7 linked regions of the Oryctolagus cuniculus genome follow. The protein of the gene in region 3 purifies or fractionates together with the protein of the main gene of each other region. This does not show direct contact. Links are inferred from orthologs where the notes say so. Each region holds a gene or a part of one and is shown on either strand. Other genes may lie near its edges.

Evidence for each region.
Region 1: the proteins of PRR3 (region 3) and RPUSD3 purify together in Homo sapiens (co-immunoprecipitation; 3 studies listed by BioGRID and IntAct, with this or other methods). This does not show direct contact. The link is inferred for Oryctolagus cuniculus from reciprocal best matches to the Homo sapiens genes PRR3 and RPUSD3.
Region 2: the proteins of PRR3 (region 3) and DAXX purify together in Homo sapiens (co-immunoprecipitation; 3 studies listed by BioGRID and IntAct, with this or other methods). This does not show direct contact. The link is inferred for Oryctolagus cuniculus from reciprocal best matches to the Homo sapiens genes PRR3 and DAXX.
Region 4: the proteins of PRR3 (region 3) and RBMS1 purify together in Homo sapiens (co-immunoprecipitation; 3 studies listed by BioGRID and IntAct, with this or other methods). This does not show direct contact. The link is inferred for Oryctolagus cuniculus from reciprocal best matches to the Homo sapiens genes PRR3 and RBMS1.
Region 5: the proteins of PRR3 (region 3) and DHX37 purify together in Homo sapiens (co-immunoprecipitation; 3 studies listed by BioGRID and IntAct, with this or other methods). This does not show direct contact. The link is inferred for Oryctolagus cuniculus from reciprocal best matches to the Homo sapiens genes PRR3 and DHX37.
Region 6: the proteins of PRR3 (region 3) and METTL17 purify together in Homo sapiens (co-immunoprecipitation; 3 studies listed by BioGRID and IntAct, with this or other methods). This does not show direct contact. The link is inferred for Oryctolagus cuniculus from reciprocal best matches to the Homo sapiens genes PRR3 and METTL17.
Region 7: the proteins of PRR3 (region 3) and YTHDC2 purify together in Homo sapiens (co-immunoprecipitation; 3 studies listed by BioGRID and IntAct, with this or other methods). This does not show direct contact. The link is inferred for Oryctolagus cuniculus from reciprocal best matches to the Homo sapiens genes PRR3 and YTHDC2.

The regions. Positions count from the first base shown.
Region 1 is NC_091441.1:116,871,558-116,875,856, reverse strand, and holds the start of RPUSD3 (mitochondrial mRNA pseudouridine synthase RPUSD3), read right to left. Parts: upstream 2,858-4,299; 5' UTR 1,590-2,857; coding exon 1,465-1,589; coding exon of another isoform or gene 1,440-1,464; intron 1,230-1,439; coding exon 1,123-1,229; intron 1-1,122. UniProt on the Homo sapiens protein: Catalyzes uridine to pseudouridine isomerization (pseudouridylation) of specific mitochondrial mRNAs (mt-mRNAs), a post-transcriptional modification necessary for their translation.
Region 2 is NC_091436.1:135,802,906-135,807,198, reverse strand, and holds the start of DAXX (death domain-associated protein 6), read right to left. Parts: upstream 2,842-4,293; 5' UTR 2,703-2,841; exon of another isoform or gene 2,585-2,702; intron 2,478-2,584; exon of another isoform or gene 2,344-2,477; intron 2,212-2,343; exon of another isoform or gene 2,075-2,211; intron 1,494-2,074; 5' UTR 1,442-1,493; coding exon 1,235-1,441; intron 1,081-1,234; coding exon 249-1,080; intron 149-248; coding exon 1-148. UniProt on the Homo sapiens protein: Transcription corepressor known to repress transcriptional potential of several sumoylated transcription factors. Down-regulates basal and activated transcription.
Region 3 is NC_091436.1:139,856,905-139,861,070, reverse strand, and holds the start of PRR3 (proline-rich protein 3), read left to right. Parts: upstream 1-1,314; 5' UTR 1,315-1,608; intron 1,609-1,810; 5' UTR 1,811-1,827; coding exon 1,828-1,927; intron 1,928-2,606; coding exon 2,607-2,669; intron 2,670-4,166. Other genes in the region: GNL1 (guanine nucleotide-binding protein-like 1), read right to left, coding at 70-235, 641-713.
Region 4 is NC_091434.1:81,413,090-81,417,125, reverse strand, and holds the start of RBMS1 (RNA-binding motif, single-stranded-interacting protein 1), read right to left. Parts: upstream 2,815-4,036; 5' UTR 2,348-2,814; coding exon 2,273-2,347; intron 1-2,272.
Region 5 is NC_091452.1:5,101,001-5,104,559, forward strand, and holds part of DHX37 (probable ATP-dependent RNA helicase DHX37), read left to right. Parts: intron 1-68; coding exon 69-170; intron 171-549; coding exon 550-664; intron 665-1,527; coding exon 1,528-1,623; intron 1,624-1,827; coding exon 1,828-1,913; intron 1,914-2,342; coding exon 2,343-2,487; intron 2,488-3,028; coding exon 3,029-3,105; intron 3,106-3,234; coding exon 3,235-3,467; intron 3,468-3,559. UniProt on the Homo sapiens protein: ATP-binding RNA helicase that plays a role in maturation of the small ribosomal subunit in ribosome biogenesis. Required for the release of the U3 snoRNP from pre-ribosomal particles.
Region 6 is NC_091443.1:53,913,129-53,917,361, reverse strand, and holds the start of METTL17 (ribosome assembly protein METTL17, mitochondrial), read left to right. Parts: upstream 1-1,397; 5' UTR 1,398-1,474; coding exon 1,475-1,555; intron 1,556-1,708; coding exon 1,709-1,862; intron 1,863-1,951; coding exon 1,952-2,086; intron 2,087-3,180; coding exon 3,181-3,262; intron 3,263-3,486; coding exon 3,487-3,568; intron 3,569-3,908; coding exon 3,909-3,982; intron 3,983-4,233. UniProt on the Homo sapiens protein: Mitochondrial ribosome (mitoribosome) assembly factor. Binds at the interface of the head and body domains of the mitochondrial small ribosomal subunit (mt-SSU), occluding the mRNA channel and preventing compaction of the head domain towards the body.
Region 7 is NC_091437.1:4,437,379-4,440,937, reverse strand, and holds part of YTHDC2 (3'-5' RNA helicase YTHDC2), read right to left. Parts: intron 2,664-3,559; coding exon 2,544-2,663; intron 2,243-2,543; coding exon 1,970-2,242; intron 1-1,969. UniProt on the Homo sapiens protein: 3'-5' RNA helicase that plays a key role in the male and female germline by promoting transition from mitotic to meiotic divisions in stem cells.

The sequences.
Region 1 (4,299 bases), on a different chromosome or scaffold from region 3:
CCGCAGACGTGAGTGCTGGGCCCGCACATGCTCCAAGCCCACTGCCACCGTGGCCTCTGCACGTGCTGTGCCCTGTCCCGGATCCTGAGGCCTGTCATGTCACGACACAGAGCAGCCTGGCTCCCCAGACTAAGGCCGTGACCCCATACAGCCATGTCTCCGTAGCAGCCCGGTGACCACTGGTCACTCCCTCACTTAGTTTCTGAGTAACCCTGCTCCCACTAGCACGCGGGCTCCCTGAGGGTGGGACCCACAGCGCTCTCAGCACGGCGTGGCCTGCCGTGAACACAGCCCATGATCAGCACCTGAGGAAATGAGCAAGGCACCAAACGAGGAAATCGGTTTCCCTGAAGCCACACAGCAAGCTGACCCCTGAATGTACGCGGGGCTGGCGTTGTGGCACAGCAGGTTAAGCTGCTGCCTGCAATGTGGGACCCCACATAGGAGTGTGGGTTCAAGTCCCAGCCTCCTGCCAGTGTGCATGGAAAAGCAGAAGGTGGCTCAAGTACTTGGGACCCTGCCACCCACGTATGAGACCAGGATGGAGTTTCTGGCTCCTAGCTTTGTCCTGGCTTAGCCCAAGCCATTACTGACAACTGGGGAGTAAACCAGCAAACGAAAGAGCATCTCCCCCCACCCCCATCACTCTGCATTTCAAATCTAAAACGCAGAATCATCAATAATAAATGTGCAAATCCTGTTTGTTTTTTAAGATTTATTTATTTGAAAAAGTGAGTACTTCCATCCATTGGCTCATTGCCCAAACTGGCTGGGCCAATCCGAAGGCAGGAGCCAGGAGCTTCCGGGTCTCCCACATGGGTGCAGGGTCCCAAGCACTTGGACCACTCTCTGCAGCTTTCCCAGGCCACAGCAGAGAGCTGGATCGGAAGTGGAGCAGCCGGGACGCGAACTCGCGTTTTACTGGCTCCTTCCCAGCACCAGGCCCTAAAGCTCGTGTTTTCTGCATCAATAAACTGCGTGACTATTACAGCGATTGCAATTCGGGAGTGCCAGCCGCGTGCAAGGCTCTCCACACTCTGCACTCTTTGCCCTCTTACCGCCCCTCCAACGCCCCAGGATGCGGAGGCACAGCCAGGCTGCGACCTGTGCCTGCAGCCTCACCTTTCCGGTCCACCACGGCCGCCCTCAGCACGTCCACCAGCTGCTCCCGGCTGAGGGTCTCGGACGGCAGCAGGCCCGGGAAAGGCTGGTCCCCAGGCGGCCGCGACCTGCAAAGGATGCGGCTGAGCGGCAGGGGCGTCGCTCACCTCCCCCGATGCCCGCGTCCCGGCCCTCCCGCGCCTGCCGCCTCTGACGCGCACCCCGAGCGCCGGGCCGAGCTCCCCGCGTGTCCCCGTCCCGCGGGGCCGCACTTCGCAGCCGAGACTCGGGGCGAGCCGGGACACACGATCGCGACCCCGCCCCAGCCTCCCTCCTACACAGAGCAGGGTCTGTGGCAATCACCGGGCCTCGGCGCCAAAGCCTGCATCCCGGGTCGCCGCGCGCGCCCCTGTCCATCGCCGCCAGCCGCCCCCGACGCGGCCCAAGGCCCGGGTGCCGCTCATCGCCCGAGCCGGGACAGTGCGCATGCGCGCCCCGAAGGCGGCCCCGCGGCCCCTCGCCGCGCGCTGATTGGTCAGCTCTGACCGTCCCTCGGCCGAGCGAGCCGGGCGCCGTTTTCTGACGGTCCCGGAGTCCCGGCGTTCGCGTGAGCACGTGCTGTCAGGGAGGCTGAGGAACCGGAGCAGCGGGATTCACCCTCGGCCGGAGGGCCTGACTTAGGACCAAGCCGGGGTGAGGGGTCAAGGTTGCCCGGCCGCCGCCCTGCCGCGTCCGTGAGGTCAGGGATGGATAGAGCCACAGCCGCTAGGCGAGCGACGCGGGGGAGGCCAGGGCTCCGGGCGCTTTTCCGGGCAAAGCCTGGACTGTTTGTGGTGAGGCCTGCAGGGAAAATGAGCCTCGTGGGTCGCGAGTTAGGAGTGTGTTTAATCCACTTAGATGCTTCCTTAAGAGGAAAGATGGCCGCCGGGAGCCGGCTTCCGCATCCGGGTCTCCGGCGGGGGGCGGAGCTCCGGGTCCCGGCCGCAGGAGGCGGGGTCTCGGGTCGGGGCGCTCGGGGCCGGGTGGGCGCGCGGGGCCGGGTGGGCGCTGGCCCGGGTCTGGCGGCCCCTCCCCGGCTTCTGCAGTGCTGACCCCGCATTCGCGTGCGGGAAGTGACCGCCTAGACACAGGCCCGCGGCGGGAAGTTGACCAGGGTGACGAGACCTGGCGCCACACCCCGCCGCCATCTTGGTCACGCCATGGCGGTGCTCGGCCGCCGGGGGGAACTGGTTCACCACGGCCCGTGTCGCGCGCCGTGGGTTAAGCCGCTGCCTGATAGCGGCACGCCGCAGGGGAGTGCCCGGTGCCCGCCCCGGCTGCTCGCTTCCCCTCCAGCTCCCTGCTGTGGTCAAGGAAACTGGACGGTGACCCAAGTGCTCGGGCCCCTGCGCTCACGTCGGGGACCCAGAAAAAACTCGTGGCGTCCGCGTTCTCCCTCTCCTAACCTCTAACTTCTCTCTGTAGCTCTGCCTTTCAGAGTAATACTCTTATTTTTTAAAGATTTGTTTATTACAGACACAATCTTCCACCTGCTCGTTAGCGCCCCAGGTGGCCACAGCACTGGTCCAAACCAAGCCAGCAGCTTCATCTGAGTCTCCTGCTGGGTGGCAGGGCCAAGCACTTGGACCATTTTCCACTGCTTTTCTCAGGCCGTCGGCAGGGAGCTGGATCGGAAGTGGAGCAGCCGGGACTCAAACCGGCGCCCGCATGGGATGCTGGCACTGCAATGCCACAATAAATCTTTTTTAAAATGTGAAAGATAAGTTTATTTTGATGTAAGAACAGTTTTAAGTGTTTTTTTTTTTTAAAGATTTTATTTAATTGAGAGGTAGAGATACAGAGGGAGAGAGACGGAAGAGGTCTTTCATCTGCTGGTTCTTTTCCCAGATGGCCTCAATGGCCAGAGCTGGGCCAATCCAGAGCCAGGAGCTTCTTCTGGGTCTCCTGTCCTTGCAGCCGGGGTCTAAGCACTCGGGCCGTCTTCCGCTGCTTTCCCACGCACATTAGCAGGGAGCTGGATCAAAAGAGGAGCAGCCAGGACATGAACTGGCGTCCACATGGGATGCCAGTGCCACAGGCTGAGATGTAGCCCCTGCACCACAGCACGGGCCCCAGTCTTTGAAAATTCACCAGGAGGAAAAGGTGGGAAGACAGAGGTGGGGGAGCAGAGTGAAAAAGTAAGAGAAATAACTATAGAAGCAAAGAACAGAATGGGTTCTGTCCTACGATTAGAGTATGTAAAAGTTACAGGCAAGCGGTGTGCTTTTTAAAGGTTTATTTTTTTGAAAGGCAGAGTTACAGAGGAGAGATGGAGAGTGCCCATTCACACACCAGATGGCCTCCAGTGGCGGTGCCGTACCAGGCAGAAGCCAGGAGCCTGGTTCACTCCCCAGATGGCCCAAACAACCAGGACTGAGCCAGGAGCCAGAGCTGCTTCTGGATCTCCCACGGGGCAGCAGGGCCCCAAGCACTTGAGCCAACCTTCGCCGCTTTCTCAGACGTGTTGGCAAGGAGTTGGATGGGAAGTGGAGCGGCCAGGATGGTGTTGGAGGCCAGGGCTTTAACCCACTGAGCCGCAGCACTGGGGCCTGCAAGGCTGTATCCTTTGTGTGTTTAATTCACTGACGGCACTAGGATTTCTAATTTGTTGTTTCCGTTAGCAATAACCTACCAATAAAGCTAAATCCATACATGGGCAAGTGGCTAAATCGGTTGTAAAACATCTGTCCCACGGAGCCGTGGATTGTAGAGTAGGCAGGTCTCTGTGAAGTTGTGAATCACTCCATATTCAAACATTAAAAGGGATGCTGTGAGTCAGATATGAGTGTGTGGATGTGATGTCTGTTTGTGCATTATAGTGATACATTTCTCTGCTTTTGAAGGGATACACAAATGGATGAGTTTGCATCCAGTGATGGAATAAGGCCGAGGAAGACAAGTAATCATGTTTACTCTTTGGAACTGCTTATATTTGTTCCATCGTTGATCAGTTTCTTTGCATGCATGCACAGAGAGAGTTTAAAAATCTGTCAAGAGGCAGGTTTTGGGCTCGAGGTTACGATTCTTTCCTCCTTTATCCAAATGCCTGGATTTGAGTCCTGGTGCCGCCCTATTCCAGCTTCCTACGAATGTGCACCCTGATAGGCAGCCATGATGGCGGGGTCGAGGGAGACCTGGATGGAGTTCCTGGCTCCTCAC
Region 2 (4,293 bases), about 4.1 Mb from region 3:
GCTCTTCTCTTCTGTCTCTCGCCTTCCTCACTTCTGTCTTGCATCATTGCGTATTTGGAGATGACCTCGTCTAGGCGGCTCAAGGCCAAGGTCCGGTTTTCCCGAAGGCGCCGGGCCAAGGCAGGATCTGACAGTGCAGGGTCAATGCCTACATGGGAAGATATGACAGCAGAGCACTCAGCCCACACCCTGGCAGAGAGGGCGAGCGGTCCCCTCTGCCTCCGACGGGCACCCCGCTAACCCGCTACCTGGCCTGTAGTCATCCGTGAGGTGGCAGCCGAAGTTGTAGATGAGGTCGAGATGGCGTCGCTCCTGTAGCCTGACGCCCACATCTCGGAAGGCGTCCTGGGCCATGAGCTGGAGCTGCTGGCGCGGGAGGCCGAGGCTGTGCCGGACAGCTGCCTTCTCTACGGCCCGCAGCACATCACCGTAGTCGGGGAAGGTGTCGGGGCCTGGCTTGTTGATGAGCCGCTCGATGCGCCTGTTGACCTCTGGGTAGCGGGTGCCGCGGTAGGGGATGCGCTGCTCTATGACCCGGCCGGTCAGCGAAGAGCAGTCTTTCAGCTCGCACAGTCGCCCAAAGAGGCGGATCAGCTTCCGCTTCAAGCGCGACTCCTGCAGGTACGTGGAGTCTGGGTCATCCAGTTCTGACAGATCCAGCTCCTTCTCCTGCAGCCTCCGGATCTCCGCCACGTACAGTGCCAGCAGCTGCTCTAGGCGCTGGATCTGCCGGCGGGAGCCACGGGTCCTTGGGGCCTCGGAGACAGCGGCCTCAGCATTGCCGGGCTCCGAGGCCGGGTCTGCAGAAGTATTACTCCCAGAGGGCTCACTGGAGGCGGTGGCAGCAGGAGCGAAGTTCAGCTTCTTCTTGGCTGAGTGGGCCTTGAGAACGGTGCAGAGCTCGTTGATGTAGACGTAGAGCTTGGCGGGCCGGCTCCGGGCCCGGGACAGGACCCGAGAGAGGATGTTGCAGAACTCGGCTGAGGCCAAAAACACAGAGTGGGCACGCTGCTGCCGACTGGAGAGGAACGGGACCACCTCAGGGTGGTCCGCTGTCTGCGTCTTACACAGTTCAAGGAACTGGAGGGTTCGGGGGAAGAAGAGAGCGGACAAGAGACAAGGGAGGGGGTTGAGAGAGAGAAGGGGGGGTGCAGTTAGTGGGGGAGAGAGGACCAGAGAGCCAGTGCGCCATCCCCCTCCCTGGGGTATAAGAATCTTCTCCCCTAAAGCTCACCTCTTCAAACAGCTTCTCATTCTCCAACTTGTAGCATTTCTTGCCGCCAGAACTACTGCTTCCTCCGGCCCCATGGGGCTCAGAGGAGCCAGGGGCTTCTGCCTGGGGTGAGGCCGGAGTGGGGGGTGGGTGGGAGGGCCCTGGCTGAGCGACTGCTTCATCTTCGTCATCATCATCCAGCACAATGATGCTGTTAGCGGTGGCCATGAGGGATCAAATCCCCCGGAGGGAGGAAGTGTTGGGGGTTTCAGAATTCCTGCTGGAAGGGGATGGGGCCTCAGAAAGAGCCCCTCCAGCATAGCCCCTCCCTTCAGCTCAGTTTCCAATCTCCGTGGGTTTCAGCAACACCCAGCCCTGCCCAACAGTGTCCTCACTGCCTGTCTTCTGCAACCATTAGCTCTGGATGCCTTCCCGGGCCCTTCAAGTGGCCCAGGACAGGGAACCGCAAACATTCAATCGCCACACCCAGCTCTACCTCTCACATTGGCTTCCGGTCTTTCTGTTCCATCTCCCCACTATTTCTCATAGTTGTCAAGTTGGTTCTTCCAACCCCAGTCCCGCTTCCCAGATTCCCATGACACCCTCACACACGGAAAACACACTCGCTCTGGCTGCCTCACGTCTGGCCCCTTTCACCCCGAAACATGTCAAACCCATACCCCACCCTTAATGATCACCCCAACTCCTAGACAATCCAACAGTCCTCTCAACGATCCATTCTCCTTTCCCCTCCTGCTATTAACTCCGTATTTCACCCTCTGATGGGCTTCTTCAAACCAGGGCACTGGGTTGGAGTATGACACCTCAAGAGCCCTCCCTCTCACCCCACCCTGATTTTACCTGGTCGCTCTCTGTGACTTGTAACCGATCGTGAGACCTACAGTGGGCTCTCCCGATTCTTCTCGGATCCCACCCTTGAGTCGCGCCGGCAGGGTAGATGAGCTTCCCGCCAAGTCCCCCTCCCCCAGGTCAGACCCCTAGCCGCCCCACTTCCCTTCAGGAATAAGGTACCAGAGCATGCCTCTCAGACTCAGAGCCCGCGTCTCCCCAGTACCGCCTCCTCGATATCCCCTCCCCCGTTTTCGCTCCCCACACAGTCCGGCCCGCACCTCAGAAACGGTCTCACGAGACGACCCTCGCCGCTGATCTCAGAACCTCGCATGGTTCCCTCCGCCTTCCTTCCCCCTCCCACCGCAGGCCCCACTACAGACCGGAAGCCGCGGAGTTTCCGCCTACACGCGTATAAGCGCGGCCATATTGTCGTACGGAGCCCAGCCTTCCTGCTTCCGGAAGGCCCCACCGAGCGTGCCTAGTACCGCCCACCTAGCCCGCGACTCCCTTCCCCCTGACCTGTAGGGGGCGGGGCCTGCCCCTTCAGGGCGTCCCGAAGTTGCTGGGGGCCGCCATTTTGTTGTACGGCCCCAGCTCTGCAGTGACTTGGGCCCTCAGCCGGCGGAGCTATTTTCACCTGGTGCTTCTGGGACTCCGCCAATCAGAAACTTCCTGCCTCGAGCCCAACCGCCAGCTAGTCGCGTGCCGAGACCACTGAGCCACCTTTCCCAGGGGTGGGAGGGGGGCAGTGGAATAGGCTGGCTGAAGAACTGGGGTCGCCAAGGCTGTGCATGGCTTCAGGAAAGGGCAGGCGTGTCTAAACGGGGAAATAAAACCTTTTCCTTCCGCTGGGCAATTAGTGAGGCTTCCGGTCCTGCTTTCCTATCTCCCAGGTACCGGTTTCCACCGCTTAATGGGCTTTGCGCCCCTCGCCGCTGCCCGGCCGCCGCTTCCACTTCCAGGTGCTACGTCCCCGGCCGGGAAATGTCGACGCATGCGTACAAACGAGCACCGCGCTCCCTGAAGGTGGTGGTGGTGGTATTACTATCGCTACGTTGTTGTTGACTGGCTTTCCGAGCTCCGCCTCAGAACTAATCAGCGTCCAAGCCGGCGGGACCCGAGCGGCGCTGCGCTGTTCTCCGAGTGGGGCCTGGACGCTGCGGCGGCATCGGCCCCTCGAGGCTCTGTCGTGGGGTCCGGGGGCTGGGGGGAGCAGCTGGGCGATGGCCCCCGCGCGTGCGGGGAGACGCGGTGGTCTCCTGCTCCTCAGGGAGAGCCGAGGACAGAGTGAGGAAGGAGCCGGAGGAGACGCCTCGCGTGGGGGAGGCCGGGCCGCGTCCCGAGGCGCGCTTGCGGGGACAGCGCGAAGCCCACGCGCGGGTGGTGGCCTCCTGCCTCAGGCCCGCGGCCTTGCATCCCTGACGCTTCCTTTGAGAATCCCTGTCACTTCTCGCCAGTCGTCCAGGCCTACAGCCTTCAAATTGAGCAACAAAACTCGCCAAGACCACTGGGTCTTGACAAAGAGGATTTAAGTTTCAGATCCTCAGCTTTCCCAAAATTGGGCTCCCAGAGCGAGCGCCTGCGGTAGAGGTTCTCCCTCTTCCTTCCCCTTCACAATGGACTTTCTCCATCTTATAATAATTCACAGCCGTGAAGTTGCCTGGGTCTCTTACCTGGCTGAAGTCAAAAGACACGTGGTCTATTTCAGCGATGCACCATGAACACAATCTTCTAGCTTATTAAAAATTCGTAATGCAAAAATTTGCACAATCTTTGTGCTGCTTGATAAATTCGTTTTTCATAATTGTAACGATAAATATTTTTAACAAAGAGTCAAAATCGCAAGAAAGACTTTTTTATTTAAAAAAATGTTTTTTATTTGACAGGTAGAGTTAGAGACAGAGAGAAAGGTCTTCCTTACGTTGGTTCACCCCCCAAATGGCCACTACGGCTGGCGCTGTGCCGATCCGAAGCCAGGAGCCAGGTGCTTCCTCCTGGTCTCCCATGCGGGTGCAGGGCCCAGGCACTTGGGCCATCCTCCACTGCCTTCCCGGGCCACAGCAGAGAGCTGTACTGGAAGAGGAGCAACCGGGACTAGAACCCGGCGCCCATATGGGATGCCGGCGCCGCAGGTGGAGGATTAACCAAGTGAGCCACGGCGCCGGCCCCAAGAAAGACATTTTTCATCTCAATTAGTATATATGTACCTTCAGGAAAACGTAAGAGGT
Region 3 (4,166 bases):
GGAACCTCGACCCGCCAGCAGCCGGCTTGCCCTGGACGCCCGGGGCCAGAGTCCCCCCTCCACGCTCACCGATTCGGGTCGTAGCCCCGCGGACCCAGGCCCTGGGAAGGCTGCTGATTAAGCCTGCGGATGTGATGGGTCACAGACTCCCCGTCCGAGGTGTCAGTCTGCTCCTCCCGCCGCTCCCGGCTCCCGCTGCGGCTGTTGGAACTGGAGCGCAGCCCATCTTGAAGTCCTGCGGGGAGGGGCCGGTGACGCCAGCGCTGGCCGGCTCTCAGGGGCCATAAGACCCCCCCCCCACGCCCCCGCCCCGGCCCCAGCCCCGGGAGGCCTGGCTCCCCTCCACCCACCCAACTTCCTCCGCGGCTCGGCCCTCCCAGCCACGCGCCCCAGGACCCCTCCGGATGTGCGCGGGGGCAGTCGCTGCTCCAGGGAGCTGCGGGAACGGCTTCCCCTCCCCCAGCTCCCCATCCTCGCCCACCCCTTCCAGCTATGGGGGAACCCCTCCACGGCCGCCCGCGCACCTCGGCGCGCGCTCGCCGCCCCCTCCCACGCCCCCTCCCCAGGTGCAGCGGGCACACCCCTCCCTCAGAGGTGCGGGAGCCCGAGCCCCGCCCCCTCCGCCCGCTCCCGCACTGACCTCGCTTCCGTTCGCGCTTGTCCTGCAGCTGCTTCTTCTTCTGCTTCACGCTGAAGGGCTTCTTCCTCGGCATGGCCCGGACCAGTCACCGGGCCCGCCCCTCCGCCGAGCTCCCGCCGCCTCAACTGACTCCCGGGGGCAGCCCCCGCCGCCAGGGCCCGGGACCCTCGAGGAGGCGGGGCTAGCGGGTGACGTCACGGACGGGCCGGGCCGGCCGGCGGCGACTGCCGGGACGGAAAGCAGACACGGGGTGGTCACGTCTCTCCCGGAGCGAGGCGAGGGGCTGAGGGGACGGGGCAGGCGGCCGGCACGTGAGAGTCAGCGGCACCGGCGGGGCGCAGCGGCGGTGGAGGAGGAGGCGCGCGTGGGAGGATCGGGCCCGCTCCGTCACGGACGCTACCAACGGGCGCCCGCAGGAGGGGGGGCGCGTGTCATCACTACCTTGCGCTCCCGGGAGACGCTACCACTCACCTGGCGGGGGCGGCGGAGCGGAGGGCGGGCCCAGCTACCTTCGGAGGGAGGGGGCGGGGACGCGCCGAGGCGACAGCACCGAGCGGGGATTGGCCTGGGTGGAAAGCGGAGACGGAGCACCCCGAGAGGGAAGCCCGCTTGCTGGCGACTCGTGGGGCACGGCCGGAGGTCTTAAGGGGCGGGTGGCGTTCTGCCGGTTCCCGGGCGCGGACCTGCTGGGACCCGAATTTCGATGCTAACGGGCGGGTCTGCAGATCCCAAGCGCGGGCGGGAAGGGAGACCCAGGTGGGACAAGGACTTTTGGAGGGAGGTCAGAGGGCACCGAGTTGTGCCTGCGGCTGTTCCCATGGTAACAGGGCACCGGAAGTGGCGACGTTAGGACGCGACAGCCCGCTCTCAGGCCGTCCGGCCCGGAAGCCCGTGGGCTCTGCAGCACACTGTGGTGTTTCTTGGCGGAGGAGAGGGCACTTGTAAGCACTTGGAGAGATGCAGCAAAGGTAAGGTTTGAGGTTGCCGCCGTGCCTAGCAGAGCGGGAGCGGGGCGGTTTTCGGGCGGGTGCGGCCGCGGCAGGGGCTCCCCGCTGCCTCCCGGAAGTGGAATGGCGGGAGCCTCAGCCCCGCTGCCCACCGGGCTCCCCCCGGAAGCGGAAACAGCTTCCAGCGTGCCCCTTCCTCACTGCCCTCCAAATCCCGCTGCAGCCATTGCCGCAGCCACGATGCCGAAACGAAAGAAGCAGAATCCGCAGCCGCCGCCACAGCAGCCCCCACGGCCCGAGCGGGAGGAGACTGGAGACGAGGAAGATGGTTGTCCCATGGGTAAGGGAGCGCACGTTCTCGGCAGCTGGGCCAGGCTGGGGCCAGGGACTAGGCAGGTGCGGGGGAGGGGGCGCTCACGGAAGGCGCGAGGGCGCACGCGCAGGGGAAGGGGCTGTCCTGCATGCAGCTTTAAGCCAGGAGTTTACTCACCTGAACTCCTGGCCTTTATCCGGCCCCCAAACCTTTCTGGAGGAGGCGGGGGAGGAAAAGCTAAAGTGCGGAGTGCGCAGCCGCAGGAGGAGAGGTGCGCGATGTTGCAGGCTGTGGCGGGTGGGAGCGCAGTCTGAGATCAAACTAGGAGGGTAGAATGCAGTGCGGCCGCCTTTTAAGCACTCCCCTGGGGGAGGGGGAGGGGAAAAGAGCTGTTTGATTGGCCAGCAGTTCAGGTGGGGGATTGAATTAGCCCTGGAATTACCTAGGATGTTGTGGTTGCACCAGTATGAGGGAAAGACAGTGGTCAGCGTCATTCCTGCATGACCGGGTTTCCTGAGTCTCTGCTTTCTAGCAGAACATGGAAACAGCTTGGCAGAGGAAAGGGCCCACAGATGGGGTGAGAATGTGCAACACTGATGATACATAGCTCACTTCGCTGATTGAGTTAAGGAGTGCATTCTAGAAGGACATCTGAGGACAGGATCATAGCCCATTCTGATGACGGTATTTTCATGTCTACTCTTAGGACCACCCAGCCTTCTGGGCCCTCCCCCCATGGCCAATGGAAAGCCTGGTGACCCCAAGTCAGGTGAGGAGGAGGGGACCCGGATCCTTGTATTAGATGCTGGAGAAGGGTGCAAGAGGAGAAGTGAAACCTAGCAAGAATTTCACATCTTACAATCCAGGATTCGATGCCTAAGTGAATGGAGAGAAGTTATGCATTCACAGACTGGAAAAGTCATAATATTGGCGTGAAAATGCAGGGAATCAGGGTGAGAGACTGTAAAGACAGTGTAAGTGAGAGGGCTACTCTGAACATCAAGATTTTTTGTAAAGCTACAGTGGTTACAGCTGTGACTTTGATGCAACAGAACAGATTAAAAAGGCAAGTAACAGGCCCACACATAATGAAAGTGCCTCAAAAAATTGATGGAAAACAGTTAAAACATAAGTTTATCTTGGTGCCTAAAATTTTCAAAGTGCATGCATGGTTTTTTCCTAATATGTGTTTTCTGTGAATTTTTTGACGTCTTCGTGTGTGAGCTCTTCATTTATAAAGATAGAACTGAAAAAGTGGTCTTTTCGATAAATGATGCTAGATCAGTTGGATAGTCGTGTAGGAAACGAATGGAATTTAACCTCCTCACAGTCTTAAAAATAACAGTACTAGTTGGACTGCAGATCTAAGTATAAAAGGTAAAAGAAAAATTATTGTAGAAAGTAAGTGTATATTCTTGGTCTTAGAGTAGCTAACAGTTCTTAGATGAGAAATACACATACACAAATTATAAAGAAAAGATTACTATATTCAACTACATTAGGTAACATAAACTTCTTTTAATCAGATGACATTGATTAACAGGAAGCCATAGAGTAGAAGACGGTATGTTCAACAAATATAACCAATAAAGAGCTCTTATCTGGAATATAAGAAGAACTCTTCCAGACAGTTCATTAGAAAAATTGGCAGAAGACCAGAACAGATTCTGGAGATCTTAATGGACCCAAACTGTGTGAACTAGTAGTCAACATCATTAGTCATCAAATACAGAATGAAAATATACCACGTTGGAGTTGGAACTCGTATGCATTATTGATGGGATTGTAAAATGGTACAAGCACTATGGAAAACAATATGGAATTTCTTCAAAAACTTAGAACTGCCATATGATCCAGTCCCACTTGTGGATATATATCCAAAATTATTGAAAGCAGGGTCTTGAGGAGATGTTTGCCCACCCATGTTCGTAGAGTATTCCCAGTAGGCAAGACCTGGAAGCATCCCAAATGTCCATTGATAGAAGAATGGATAAGCGAAGATAAAAGTACAATGGAATACCTTAAAAAAGGAAGAAAATGCTGTCACATAACTACAACCCAGATGAACTTGGAGGACTTTCTAAGTGAAACAAGCCCGTCACAGACAAATGCTGTATGATTCCACTTACATGAGGTATCTCAAGTCAAACTCATAGAAACAATAGAATGGTGGCTACCAGGGGCTGGGGGGCAGAGGGATGGAGGAAAGGGAATTGTTTAATGGGTACGGAGTTTTAGTTTTGCAACAGACAGTTCTGAAGATCTG
Region 4 (4,036 bases), on a different chromosome or scaffold from region 3:
CAAATCAAACAAAGCCTATCTTTTTAAACTACACTATTACATTGTTACTAATAGACGTGTGAGAGAGGAAAAGAAAAAGTCTACATGTTGCAAACCCTGCTTACCTAAAATCTGCATCTAATCACTTCTCAGTTTCAGGTGATGTCCCTTACTGAGATAATCAAGATACTTTTACCATCGGGAATTGAGATTTCATTACCAAACTTTAATACGATGCTATATAGGTCAAGTGAGTATATGTACCTCTCTTTGGAAACAAAGAGACCCAGAGTATTAGGATTTCAGATTTCATAGTAGAAACAGCAAAATACGTTTTGAGAATGTCATTTACTGAAATACAAATCAATATTAAATGCTTTATGCAGGAAGCACACTTTCAGAAAATGGGCCCTAAAGCTTTCTGGGATCCGACCCTAATTACCAGAGAAGGCTCTTGTCGTTTGTCTCTCTCTTCAATTATTTACAGGGCAAAAAAAGCCAAATGGCATTGCATTAGCTATATTAAATGTTAGGTACTTGGTTTCTAACTTACTAATGGTACATAAAAATTACCAAGGTAAATGTGCCTGTAGAAACACAGCTTTTATTTTCTTCTTCACCTGAGTGTATGTATTTATTATTCATATAGTTAAGTGTTGAATAGGCTGTCTTTCAGGCACCCAATGCTGCATAATTTAAACAAGTGCATTAAATATATAAGACATCTAAAAGGTAGGGCATTGATTATGCCACAAAATTTCTTTGTACAGTTACAATGGAGCACCCCCCAAAATCGAGCATCTCCCAAGTTCCTGAAAACAAACCCGTCAGAACCACACAGAAATGAACAGATGGGTTTCCTTGCTGGTACCCTCCTGCAGCTTTCTGGTGACTCAAAGTAAAACAAGAAGTGAGGAGGGGGTGATGTGGGGAGTGAGAAAGAGACCCTGGAGTGCTTGGACATTCTTGGCCTTGATGCCGACAAGTGTCCTTTTTGCAAATACAGGTCTGTGTTGCAGGTACATGCAACACGGACCACACACATTCTAAGAGACTTTCTTACAGTTCAAGGCTGAACCTGAGATTCTTCGAGTCAGGCCAGTGATGCCCAGTGTGCCAGCCAGCCGGTCATGGTTGCCTTCTCTCTCGACGGAAGTTCAGGCACAGCATCCATACCTGGTCGTTTTCTGAGCTAGAAAGGCACGCGGAGCTGTGCTAGATGTTAACGGCTTAAGGAGCCTGCTGCATCCAACTTCCGCCCTTCCAAACCGTGGCAGAAGCTTCTAAAGCAGAAATCGCCACTCTTCACGTACCCAACTTTGTTCCTCTTCTCCTTCTTTTGTTAATGAGTTCAGAAGGCATCACATTCTTACAGTGAATATGAGATAGGCCCTCTAAACAAAGTACCCAGGGCCCCCCCAAACCGGTCGTAATTGGCATGGCTACATGTCATCAGCTGCTGGAACTCAAGAGTGCATGCAGGCCACTTTTGGAAAAACACCACTGGAAATCGATCGGTGGTAAAACACAGGAGGTGGGTTTTTTTCTTCCTGTTTTAACTAAATACAAACTCACTTCTTTCTCTGCGCTGAAATCTGCCCATTATCCCCCCTTTGCAAAAAAAAAAAAAAAAAAAAAAAGCCACAGAAAAGATTCAAAGGGACATCAATGAACACTGAGTGAACTTTGGCCACTTTTCTACCCAAAACACCAGCGTAAAAGTAGAAATCAGTAACCAGGTGAAGTGCCACACCGCACAAAGATCAGAGGCGAGGGGCGGGCGCGCAGGGCCGGAGGCGGGCAGGAAAACGTCCCGGCCCCCCACCCCCACCCCGCCCTGCAGCCCCGGTCGACGCGCGCGCACGAGGTAGAGGGGCGTCCCTGGGGGCGGGAGGCCCCGCGCCGCTCCCGGGGAAGAGAAGAGTTACTGCTCAGTGGGCGAGGCCCTGGAGAGGGGGTCCGGGCGCCGCGGGCCCCAGGCGTCGGCCGCCGGCCGGGCAGCACCGGGCGCAGGGCGCCGCTCGGCCCCTCGACCCTCGTCGCGTCCTCCCGGGCCAGGAAGGGGCTGGCGGCTCTTTCCTGTCTGGTCTCTCCCCCCGCGGCTTTCTGTAACCCGATCCCCGCAATCGGCGCCCCGGGAAGCCGCCGCCCAGCGCAGCGCGGCTCTGCCCAGGCCAGCGCTATAGTTAGCAACCTTCCATCAACTCCGCCCGGGGCGGCGGGGGGCGCCGCGCGCCTCTCCCGGGCCGACCCCGCGCGCGCCCCCGCCGCCCCTCGGCCGGCGCCCCCTTACCTTAGCTTGCAGATACTGGGGGTAGTAGTAGGTGGCGTACTGAGGGTACATCTGCTGTTTCCACACTTTGCCCATGAAGCTGGAAGGAAGCCTGCCGTGCAGGGTCGCGGACACTTTGGGGTTTCCAAGTCTCGATCGCTCCTGCCTCTCCCTTTCCGGCGGCGGCGGCGGCGGCGGCGGCGGCGGCGGCGGCGGCTGCCTCGGCGGCTGCTGCTGCTGCCGCTGCTCCACCTCCCAGCCGGGACCAGACGTCCTCCGCCTCCTCCTCCTCCTCCTTCTCCTCCTCCTCCTCCTCCCGAGCAGAGAGAAAGACACTGCAGCGCGCAGAGGGCACCCCGGACAGGGCGCTCCCAAGGAGTTTCCTCCCGGTGCCCGACTGCGCCGGGGCTGCCAAGGGCTGGCGCGCGGGCCGCGCTCCGCTCGGCGAGCAGGCGGCGCGGGGCGGGGAGGGGATCAATACAAGTGGAAAGTGCTGCTGCGGCTGCGGCGGCGGCGGCGGCGGCTGCGCTCGGTGCCAGGCGGCATCTGGGGTGGGTGCGCCCGACTGGAGCAGGGAGAGGGGCTGGCGGGCCGAGGCCGTGGGGGAAGGGCGGGCGGGGGCGGGGCCTGCGCGCCGCGGAGCCCGGGACCCGCTGGAGGTGAGGGCAGAGTTGGGAGCGCCGCTCACCTCCCCGGCTCGGGTAGGACGGCGGGAGCCCTGCGATCCCAGACCGCTTTGTGTCGGCGTGGGGGCGGGGGTGGAGAGGGCACCTCTTCTGCTCTCTGGAGTTCTTGGCTTCGTAGGGGGGAGGGGAGGTACGGGAAAAGAGGAAATCTGATTAATCTCTCACTCCCCCCCCCTCCGCACACCCCGCGGACTGATGCTTTTTTTTTTCTTTCTTTCCCCCGAAATGGAAAGGAAAATGATTTAGTGCCCAGCACAAAGCTGGAGTGGGGTCGCGCGGGTTCTGTCTCGCCCCCACCCCAGACCACTACACTAATTTTCTAGGTGACCTTGGGAGGGTGAGTGTCCTTCCGTTTGGTTTTCCCGGTTGTGAGAGGTGAAATCATGCCCCTGCACCAGGGGGAGGCAATGCTCACAGGCGCGCGGGTGCGCGCGCGCGCGAGCGCACACACACACACACACGCACACACACACGCCTCATAACAAACAGACGGCTCCTTCCAAGGGGAACACACACACACACACACACACACACACACAAACGCGCGCGCGCCTTACAACAAACAGACGGCTCCTTCCAAGGGGAGGGATGCCGCAAAGAGACAGGATGTGATTAGAGGACACAATATAGACATCAGCTCTTTGCCTCTTTCAAATACTGCCAGACAGTCTGTCAACTCCCACTCAGGAGCAAGGAAACTCCCTGAGTTTGGAATATTTTAAGGCCATTTTGAAAGTCACGCCGGCATATTGTTGCAGCGTGCTTCGGTGACATATAAAATCAATCTCCCTCTGCCTCTCTCCATCTCCTAATTGTCACCGCTCTAGACAGCCCCAGACGAACGGTGGTTCGGCTCACTACATAACTGGATATAATGTAATGGAGTAATTGGTCCCCAAAGCAGCCTGCAGAGCGATACTAAAATAGGACAGGTATAAAAGAAAGCATTCTCAAACTGATGGCCTTGCACATTTAATAAAGTGCAACGAAAAACTCATTTGTTATCAAGTAGATCTTCATTATTTTGTTTTGTCATATTGGTTTTCAGAATCTTAACAGCACAGGGAAAATCAAACTGAACTAGAATGCCTGACTTTGT
Region 5 (3,559 bases), on a different chromosome or scaffold from region 3:
GAGGGCACAGCAGGTTTCTGCGGCTGCAGGCCTGCCCGCACCTGAGTCGCCAGGCCTGTCCCCCACAGAGGCACCTGCCGCTGAGGCTGCTCATCATGTCGGCCACGCTGCGGGTAGAGGACTTCACCCAGAACCAGCGGCTCTTCGCCCAGCCGCCCCCCGTCATCAAGGTAATTCCTGGGGCCTCTGAGCCTCACCAGGGGGAGGAGGCTCCTGGTGGACCTCACTTTGTCACGCGGAGAGGTGTGCGTTTGTAGGCTGTGGCCCAGGTCAGGGATCCAGCTCCCTGTTGGTGCGCCTGGGAAGGCAGCCATGGACACCACCCACATGGGACACCAGGATGGAGTTCCTGCCTCCGGGCTTCAGCCTGGGCCAGCCCAGCCATTGTGGCCATTTGGGGAGTGAACTAGCGGATGGAGATCTCTGTCTCTCCCTCCCTCTCTAACTCTGCCCGTCAAATAAACACAGTTTCAAACACAAGCAGCAAGATCGGGGAGAGGGGGGTACTCCTGGCTGCAGCACCCCCCACGTCTTCTCTTGCCCCTGCAGGTGGAGTCCCGGCAGTTCCCGGTGACGGTGCATTTTAACAAGAGGACCCCACTGGAAGACTACAGTGGCGAGTGCTTCCGGAAGGTGTGCAAGATCCACCGGATGTTGCCTGCAGGTGGGCCTGGCGGGGGCTGAGGCCCAGGCTCCCGGCCCCTCCCTGAGGGGTTGGTGACACTCCCATCCTTGCCGTGCCTGTTTCTTCCCTGGTTCTGGAGTGTTCGCAGCACCTGCCCGGCCTCTTTCTGCCCAGAATAGTGCGAGCCTCCAGTGTGGACTGGAGCAGGCAGCTGAGGGCTGGGTTTGCGTCCGCCCTGATGGCAGAACACCTGGGCGCAGGCAGGTGCCCACGCACGGTCCAGGGGGAGGGCTGTGTCCCCTTACTTAGCTGGTGTCACCAAACCGGCTTGCCCTTGGCTGGGAGGATAGAGTGGATTGACATCCAAAGGAAACCATGGTCCTGGGCGCCGGCGCCACTTAGCGCACACACAGCCCCAAAACCCAGCAGCTGTGGTAGCTGTGGTCACTTCTCACCAGAGACTCTGGTCTTCCAAAGCTGGGCTCCAGGCTGCTTTGCCCCTGCTGCAAGGCTGAGAGTGGCAGGGTGCTTCCAGCACACGTGAGACCCCGTGTCCCCGCTCGCTGTGCCTGTCCTGCTAAGTTGTCTCGGTGCAGGGCCTCCTGGGTGCACGGCCGCTGTCTGGAGACTCTGGGCTGCACCAGGTGCTCGCAGCGAGGAGCCTCCCCGCAGCCTGGGGTCTGAACACGTGCGCAGGCTCCCGTGAGACCTCTGGCCAGTCCTCGTGGACCCGTGCTCAGGAGTGGCACCGTGGGGTCTCACGGCACCTCCATCTGGGGGTGACTCGTCCGCCCATGACTGTGCCGTCTGGCTCCCTGGGGCCCTGTGTCTCAGTGCTGGTTGCTAAGGAAGTGTTTGCTGAGTGACTGATGGGTAACACCGGAGCCTGGCTCTTCCCACAGGTGGCATCCTGGTGTTCCTGACGGGGCAGGCCGAGGTGCACGCTCTGTGCCGCAGGCTCAGGAAGGCCTTCCCACCCTCCAGGCCCCAGGCCAAAGGTAACCAGGGTGCGCATGCTCAGTCCCCCACTGCCCCCGTCTGGGGCTCAGCCGGCTGCCCCGCCTCTCCCTCTGGAGTCGGCGGCCTCTTCCGCACCCCTGAATTAAGTGGTCGCGGGCAGTGGCTTTGCTGGGTGACAAGGAGCAAAGCGCTCTGCCCTGCCCTGGCCACAGGTGTCTCTCCCCACCTCCCCTCATTTGCAGAAAAGGAAGACGAGAAAGACTCGGCGGAAGAAATGCGGAAGTTCAAGAAGTCGCGGGCCAGGGCGAGAAAGGCTCGTGCCGGCTCGGTAGGCTGGGGTGTGCTGGGGGCTCGGGCTGCAGGGCCGCAGTGTCCAGCTTGGTGGCCGCCAGCCCACCCTGGATTGGAGTGAAATGGGAAATCCTGTCTCCTGGGTGCACCACGCGGAGCTGCTGGGCCCCGGGCACCCCGAGCAGGGCCTGTGCCGATCCCCTGCTGGGGAGTGGGAGCAGAGGCTGCTGGGAGGGCTCCCCCAGGTGGCGGCGTGGACTCCCCTCTTGCTCTCACCTGTTGCACTTCAGTGTTGAGAGCAGCCCCAGGAGGTGAACCCCAGTTCTCGGGTGAGGAAACAGATATGTTTAGTGGCCGCCCGAGGGTCCCGGGGCCCACAGGGTGCGTGGGCTTGCTTGTGCTGTGCACGACGCCATCCGCAGCGGGGCGCCCGCAGCCCATGCTCTTTGTGTCTCGTTGAGTGTAGACACTGCCCCCGATCAACCTGGATAACTACTCGGTGTTGCCGGCGGGCGAGGGCGACGAGGACCGGGAGGCAGAGATGGACGACGAGGAGGCGGCCCTGGGCTCCGACCTCGATCTGGACTTGGGGGATGACGAGGCGGACGGAGGTGCGTCCCACTCTCAACCTCACTCAGGTCCTTCGTCTGCAAGTGTGTGGAGCCCCCGCTGGGAGGCAGCTACAAAGAACCCAGATCCCACCCTCGGGTCCTCGTGTGAGCTGCGGGAGAGCTGGCCTTGCTAGCTGCTTTGTCCACGCTGCACCCTGAGCTCCTAAGACTGCCTGGTGCGTGGGGGGCTTCAATTCCTGTGGTGTTGAGTGTCATGGGGGCACCACGCCCAGGCCCACTCTGTTGTGTGGACACAGGCCTCAGGGGTGCTGGGGGGTGCCTGGCCGTATATGAACTGTGTGCAGCCTAGGGCTGTGGGGGGCACCCCACAGGCTGACCCCAACTTCAATGGGACCAGCCTGGGAGAAGGGAATCCCAGTGGCAGCTGTGACGGGAGAACCCTCGGGAGTCTGTCCCCGGTCCCCAGGCTTTGCCTGCCTGCCTCGCCCATCTCACGGCTGAGCCCCTGGCAGTAGGGCTGGTGGAGGGTGCGGGGCGGTCTGTCCCGTCCAGGGCTGTCGGCAGCCTCTGCTCCCTGCAGGCGAGCAGCTGGACGCCTCCCTCCCCCTCCACGTGCTCCCGCTCTACTCGCTGCTGGCCCCAGAGAAGCAGGCGCAGGTAACGGTGCTCCGGGCGTGGGGGCGGGGGCGAGCCAGTGCTGAAGTTGGGCAGTGCCTGGGGTTCTGAGAGGACACTGGGGCCCAGGAGGGATGGACTTGGCCACCCACCCCCACCCCTCAACGCTAGGTCTTCAGGCCACCCCCAGAGGGCACTCGGCTGTGTGTGGTGGCCACCAACGTGGCCGAGACGTCCCTCACCATCCCCGGCATCAAGTACGTGGTGGACTGTGGCAAGGTCAAGAAGCGCTACTATGACCGTGTCACGGGCGTGTCCTCCTTCCGCGTCACCTGGATCTCCCAGGCGTCGGCCGACCAGCGGGCAGGCCGGGCGGGCCGGACAGAGCCTGGCCACTGCTACAGGTGGGCCTCCGGGTTCCTGTGCAGCCACCACTGAGGGTGAGGAGAGGCGCTATCCCTCCTCCATCTACAGGGGCCACGTGGCCCTGGGGCGT
Region 6 (4,233 bases), on a different chromosome or scaffold from region 3:
CTTGCCATAACAGCAAAGGAAGAACTTCTACCCATCCTGTCACTAGACTTCTATCCCAGCAGAGTAAGGATGGACCTTTGCTACAGATATCAAGAGTTTACGGCACAGTAAGCTTTTTAGTGTTACATGCTAACACCTCCAAACACTTAGCATAAAGTTAACTAACTTGTGCCCCAACCACCAACAATATGGGGTATAGCATATTGTGTAAAAATGAAATCAGTGTTAAACTAGCTGTCACCTAACAAGATTTGTGATCTCAGGGGCCGGCACTATGGCACAGCGGGTTAAAGCCCTGGCCTGAAGCACCGGCATCCCATATGGGCCCCAGTTCTAGTACTGGTTGCTCCCCTTCCCATCCAGCTCTCTGCTATGCCCTGGGAAAGCCGTACAAGATGGCCCAAGTCCTTGGGCTCCTGAACGAACCCCTGTGGGAGACTCAGAAGAAGCTCCTGGATCCTGGCTTCAGATCGGGGCAGCTCTGACCGTTGCAGTCGTCTGGGGAATGAACCAGCGGATGGAAGACCTCCCTCTCAGCCTCTACCTCTCTCTGTAACTCTTTCAAATAAATAAAATAAATCTTTAAAAAAAATTGTGATCTTGCACATATTTAACCATTAGAAGTCTCACTTTCCTCAAGTGCAAAATGGGGCTGACAGCAGGATATGCCTTGGTAGGAACTAGATTACATAGAAGGATTTTCTTCCTTAATTTTGAAAATTTATTTTTAAACACAGAGAGAGAATCTCCTGTTGATTCACTCCTCAAATCCCAGCAACAGCAGGGGTGAAGCCAAGCCTAAGTCAGGGACTGGTCATTTAACCCGGGTCCCCTACGTGACAGGGACCCGAGGACTTGGGCCATCACCTGCTGCCTAGCAGGGTGTGCACCAGCAAGAAACTGGAATGCGGAACCCAGGAACTCTGATATGGGATGCTGACTTCCCAACAGACCCCAAGGAGAAGTTCCTAGCACATTACCTAGCATGTGGGCGTTCTCAGCAAGCGTTAGCGTTAGCTTATTGCTAACTGACGAGAAACTGACAACTAATTAAACTGTTAACTAAATTATTAATTTACTACCTTTAGTAGTTTAAATCTGGTTTCCTCACCTTTTCATTACTGCATTCTCCGGTTCACAGAGGAAAACAACTCCAGATTCAGTTCTACAGGGAGAAAAGCAACCAGATTTTGACAGCCGAAAGCCCGCCTCCGTCCCTCATGCCCCGCCCCCTCAATTTCGGGCTCTGCAGCACCCCCTTTCCGCCGATCAGGTCGGACCTGACTTCCAAGTCCCGCCCACGAACGGCTTCCGCCGCGAGTAGATTTACATATCGACTGCTTATTGGCTACTAATGAGCACTCCTTCTTCTCATTGGTTGATGCTGTCTCGAGCGAAATCCCGGAGGAAGTTCCGCGCGTCGTTGGGAGCTGAGGGTCACTTTCGTTTCTGTTTCCGGTTCGCCTGCGAAGGCATGGCGGCTGCGTCGGGAAAGAGGTTGCCCTCGATATTGGGCAGATGGCGCCGCGGGCTTCGAATGGCCCCCCAGTCCCGGGTGAGTACCTACTTTCTCTGCTCCCGAAGAAGCTCTGGGACCCTAGAGACAGCTGCGCTCCAAGAAGGAGCTGTTTGGCAGCCGCTTCCTTTAATTGAGAGCCCTCAGTCTTCCTTTGTGGCTGGCACCCAGCTTTCCTTTCTCGGCTTCCAGGCGCTGGCGGCCCTTGTTCGCGGCGTGAGTCAGGTAGATAACAAGTCCGATTTTCTGGGGAAGAAGCCTCACCGTCGGCACCCTGGCATCCTACGTCTGCCGTGCGTGCAACTGCCACAGGCACTGGCTGACGCCGCCCAGCTACTGCTACTCCGTAAGTAACGGCGGGAAAGGGGTATCCGAGGAGAAAAAGAAATGGGCCTTTGCACACAGGTAATTCTGCTTTTCATCTCTGGCCTCCAGAGAACGCAGTGCCCAATGTGGAGAAGCATGTGCAAGCACTGACCAATTATCTCTGGAGCCGACACTTGCCCGTAGAACCTGAGGAGCTACAAAGACGGGCTGTGAGTCTGGAGAAAAAGTTCCTGGAAAACGCAGGTAGGATTGAAGACTGATGAAAGATTAGGCCGGATTGAAACTGGGGAATGAAGTGCAAGAGATAATTTTACAGTCTCTCAAATAGATATTGGAGTTTCTTATTTGACTTTCCACCTTACTGGAAGATAGATTTGTTCCAGAGACTACCCTTGGGACGTGAGGAAGGGACAGAGTATGGCAATTGAAATCTGGATCCCAGTTGGGACCATCTACTTTTTTTTTTTTTTTTTTTTGACAGGCAGAGTGGATAGTGAGAAAGAGAGAGAGAAAGGTCTTCCTTTTGCCGTTGGTTCACCCTCCAACGGCCACTGTGGCCGGCGCACGGCGCTGATCCGAAGGCAGGAGCCAGGTGCTTCTCCTGGTCTCCCATGGGGTGCAGGGCCCAAGGACTTGGGCCATCCTCCACTGCACTCCTTGGCCACAGCAGAGAGCTGGCCTGGAAGAGGGGCAACCGGGACTAGAACCCGGTGTGCCGGCACCGCTAGGTGGAGGATTAGCCTATTGAGCCGCAGCGCTGGCCCATTCTTATTAAGGTGAAAGTCCCTGTAAAGTTAACTGCCTAATGCTGAAAACCTCTGGGATTGGAGAATACATGTAATATATTCACGGTTGTGAGCTCCTTCGTCTTACAGACCTTTTATTTATCTTGTGTCCCCTACACCCCCCACAATCTGGCTCTGAATGGGCATTTAGTACATACTTGCCAAACACAATAGAGTCCCTTTTCCACCTATAGGAACATTCAAGATGTCACAGTCTTAAGTTTTGGGGAAGTGAGGAAATCCACAAAATAATTGTCCTTCTCTTATCCTTTAAATCTAAATTGTATTTTCCTTTATTATAGAAAAAAATTTGTTGGGTAGGGTCAGTTAAGTTGAATATACTGCTGTTGGAGGCAAATACTATCTCATACACTCTAGGGGTGCTGGTGGTGATTATCCTTAGCTGAAATTTTTCTCTAGGTTTGGCTGCTTTCTTGAGCTTTGAGGCTTTTCCAGTGGGAGAGGGGAGAACCGGGAGGGCAGTGAATTAAATATTGGATCTGGTCTCTGTTCTCCTTAGGTCCTCACTTCCAGTCCTTGTTCTCACCGCAGACTCATCCCAGACAGAAGAAAAGCTTCGTGGAGCAGTGCTACATGCCCTGCGCAAAACCACCTACCATTGGCAAGAACTGAGGTGAGGGGGACTAGAAAACATGCAGAAGGAAGAAAAGTTGGACTTGAAAAGGAGAATGGAGCCGCACAATTGCATGATCAATGCAGTGTTTGAAAAAGTGCCTGAGTGATAGTGATCCCCAGGACCACTCTGCCCTGGGGAGTGAAAAGCTAAAGTGGAAGAGCCCTTTCCAAGATCTTATTTCCTCGCAATGGTCAGCAGGTGTGACTCTGATTTTTGTGCAGCTACAATGAAGGACTGAGCCTGGTGTATATGGCAGCGAGACTGGATGGTGGCTTCGCGGCAGTCTCCAGGGCATTCCATGAGGTGAAAAATCTGTGTCTAACTTGAACGCTCTTACCTGCTGTTCCCTTATTGATTCATAATGTAGTCTGTACGGTAGGGATTCTTAGGGTGCTGCGTAGGCTTTTATGCTTTGCTTTTTTTTTTTCTTTCTTTCTTAAAGTTCTCTTGTCCTGTAAAAGGATTCTGTGACCCAAGAAAGGTTCAGAACCACTATTTTAGGAGCTTGTTGTTAAGTGTTTATGTTGAATCTCAGAATGTGTTCACATCTTTCTTCCTCTGTCATAGTCCCCTAATTCATATTTACTAAGGCACTAAATAAGTATCTGCTTACCATACTGTGGGGTGTTGTGTGTTTCTCCAGATCCGAACTCGAATTCCAGAGTTTCAGCCACAAACCTTAATGGACTTTGGCTCGGGTACTGGCTCTGTCACCTGGTGAGTAACTTGCTTCATCCCTTTCTCAAGTCTAGTTCTAGAAGGCCACACTTAACACCAATCCAGTATCAAGAACTTGAAAAACCACAGGAAAAATAGGAAAGTTGAGAACCTAGAATGTTTCTTCTCTCCGATTAGGCGAGGCAGAAGAAGGTATATGGGTTAGGGCCAGGATTTAAAAGAAGTATCATAGTGAAAAAAGACCCATATCTGAAAAGTTTAAAAGCAAAGGAATAATAGTGTAGGGTGGC
Region 7 (3,559 bases), on a different chromosome or scaffold from region 3:
ACATTTACCACCAATCACTTCTTGGAGGCAACAAAGTAGCTGAAAACCACCATTGGTAATCACTCAAAGTCAATTCTCCATATTCTAATTATTCTATAAAATCTAACACTTTATGATCAGATAAAATTGATATTAGGGGCAGGTATCTGGCACAGTGGATAAGCTGCAGTTAGGAGGCCTGCATCCAACATCAGAGTACCCAGGGTACATTCCCAGCTCCAGTTCCTGACTCCAGTTTCTGCAAATGTGGACTCAGAAAGGCAGCAATGATCGATCAATCAGCTGGGTTCCCACCACCCATATGAGAGACCTAGCTTGGGTTCTCAGGTCCTGGCTTCAGCCCCCCAGCCCATAGCATTTCAGGAGTGAACCAGTGAATGGGGGCAAGCTCACTTGTATGAGCTCTCTTCCTGGCACTCGCTGCCTCTATTTCTTTCTGCCTATCAAATAAATAAATTTCAAATTTATCACCAATTCATACTCAAACACTATGAAAGTCATTGGGTTTACAAAACCCCTAGGAGAACTAAGTGTCAAACAACCTAAATGATCAGCTATGAGATATATTCACATTCTCAGGTAAACCTGCCAATTTTATTCCACACAAGTGTGAGTAGTTTCAATTACGCCATCCTAATCCACTTGTATCTAGGAATTCTGCCACTGTAGTCTTCCAATCATAGTCTCTGTATCAACCTCCTGATCTGAGAATGGAAACTTGGATTTCTAGGAATGACCCTCTATGCAGCATAAAAAGCTCCCTTTTGAAAATCAGTTTTCTTGCTTTAGGTGTAATTCGAAGACCAAAGCAATAATTATCCTGTTTTAGAAGAAGCAGGGGGAAAGCAAAGAACAGATAGGAATTCTACTCCAAATATCCCAGTAATTACTATTCAACTGCCATACTATAATATATAGTATTTAACACCCAATTAATAGCAAACAGCCATCCACTGTTCCATAGCACTCATAACAGAACTTTTGATTATTTTTAAGAATTATGTACGTGAATATATGCATATTATGTATGTGCATATATGTATATGCAATACTGGCATACCGTATGGGCACAAGTTCTTGTCCCAGCTATTCCACTTCCAATCGAGTTCCCTGCTAATGGCCTAGGAAAGTCAAGTACTTGGGCCCCTGGCACCCACATAGGGGTAGGGGATGAAGTTCCTGGCTCCTGGCTTCTGCCTGGCCCAGCCCTGGAGGTTGTAGCCATCTGCGGAGTGAACCAACAGATGGAAGATCTCTGTGTGTGTGTGTGTGTGTGTGTGTATACATGTGTATCTCCCTCTAACTCTTTCAAATAAATAAATCTTAAAAAAATAATGTATTTTAGAAAAATCTTACATGCCTGAAAAAGTACTTTCAACACAAAGTTGAGCTCTCTCTGTATATACTTCTTAAATTTTAAAATAAAGAGTAAAAAATCAATAGATATTAAATTCAAGATAATTTTCTTCCAACCTTTGTTCTGTAAACTTTAGACAACGTTCAAATAAAATTTTAGAGCATTCTCTGTCCAATATATGATTTAAAGATAAGGAGCTCAGTATGAAAAAATAAGCATGAGTATTAAATATAATATTCATCTAAGGAGAAAATGAGGGGAAAACATGTAAAGAAAGATTGATATTTTTAACATATTAACAGCAAGAAGTATTTTTCTGGGCTATTAGTTAAATGTGACCTCAGTTTAAAAGTTTACTGTATATGAGTGAAACACACATCTTTGTGATTTGATTACTGTTTAAAGCCCTTGCCTACATTCCTGCTGAACTATGGTCTTTTTATTTCTTATTTGTTAAACTCTTTATTTAGCGGAGCATTAAGGTTTTGACTATAATAATAATAATTAAAATAGAAAACTAATGAAATTATTTTCTATCTCTTTAAACTGCTACACTTTACCCAGAAATGCGTTCAACACAGCATTTTCAGAAACAAGCCCCAGCACTAGTACCTGGAAGGCTCTGAGAAGCGCCATGTGGTCACTGAAAGTTCCTGCAGTGAAACGCTTCCTGCAAAGCATCGCTGCACGCTTTTGAGAGGCCTGGGTGGGCAGCACAAAAGGATCTCGGTAGGCCAGAGTGCAGGCAATTGTAAGAATGGGATCCAGACACTTCAGAACAACAGCGCACAGCACCATTTTGCCAAGATGTGGCTCGACTGGCAAGTCAGCCAAGTGATATCCAAGTTCAGTCAGATCTTCCCAGGCATCCATTGCATCTATTGTCTAAATAAAAGGATACAGAAAAGAAGCTGACATGACCAAACACTGTTTAACCACACCACATACTTAAAAATCCATAAGTAAAAAAATATAAAATCTTTTGTCACATAAAAATATTTCACTTCAAATATATTATACTTACATAAAAGAACAATACACTGTATTACCTACTATTAACTACTGTGACAGTATTATTTAGAGTGCATGATACACTAAAATGTTTTCAAAGTATAAATAGGTTATATATCCTCATTCAGTTTAAATCTTAAATTTAAAAAAAGCTAGGAACTATTAAGACACTTACCTTCAGCATCTGTACAGCATTTCTTACAATCAAAGCTGGCGGGGGTTCAGGAGCTTTCATAAGGAAGTCAGCAACGGCACAATTAACTGGGGCTAACAGCTTGGTATGTAAACAAAGTTCCTTTAAATCAAAACAGTAAAGAATGTACTTTAGACTTTTACCTGTAAATGAATTACACAAACTACAGCTCCCAAACACAGACTAGAAAGCTTCTTATTAAACTGAACAGCAGAAGGAACAACATCTTCCTATGAAACATGGGCTCACAACTAGCCTGATCGGCCAGAATCCTCATCAGCACCATCAGTCAACTCGTACCATTGTCCCTTCTGGCTACATCTCCTCACAGAATTCTTAGATACAGGGGCTGGTGCTGTGGCTTAGTGGCTAAAGCCACCACCTGCAGTGACAGCATCCCATATGGATGCCAGTTCAAGACCCAGCTGCTCCTCTTTTGATCCTGCTCTCTGTTATGGCCTGGGAAAGCAGTAGAAGATGGCCCAAGTACTTGGGCCCCTACATCCACATATAGGCCATTTGGGGAGTGAATCAGCAGGTAGAAGATCTCTCTGCCTCTGCCTCTCTGTAACTCTGCCTTTCAAATAAATAAATAAAGCTTAACAAAAAAAAAAAGAATTCTTATATACAACTGTTAGAGCACTATTCAAAAAATAAATCTTTTCCCTGCTTTTTTTATACTTACTACATCCTAGAATCTTTTATTTGTTCAACCATACTTAAGTGCTCTCTAGGTTCATGGCATTATGCAGCAAGTTGTAGAAGAGGAACACAGACAAGTGTCTGTACTCATGGAGTTTACACTGTTGTGTAAAAACAGACCTGAAATAGCTAATTATATAATTAACAACTTTATTAGAATTGTGGTAAGTGCTATGAAATTACAGGGAGGCAAAGAGTGACCGAAGCAAATTCAAGAAACAGCAAGGGCCAGCACTGTGGCACAGTGGGTTAAGGTCCTGATCTGCAGTGCTGGCATCCTCTATGGGTACTGGTTC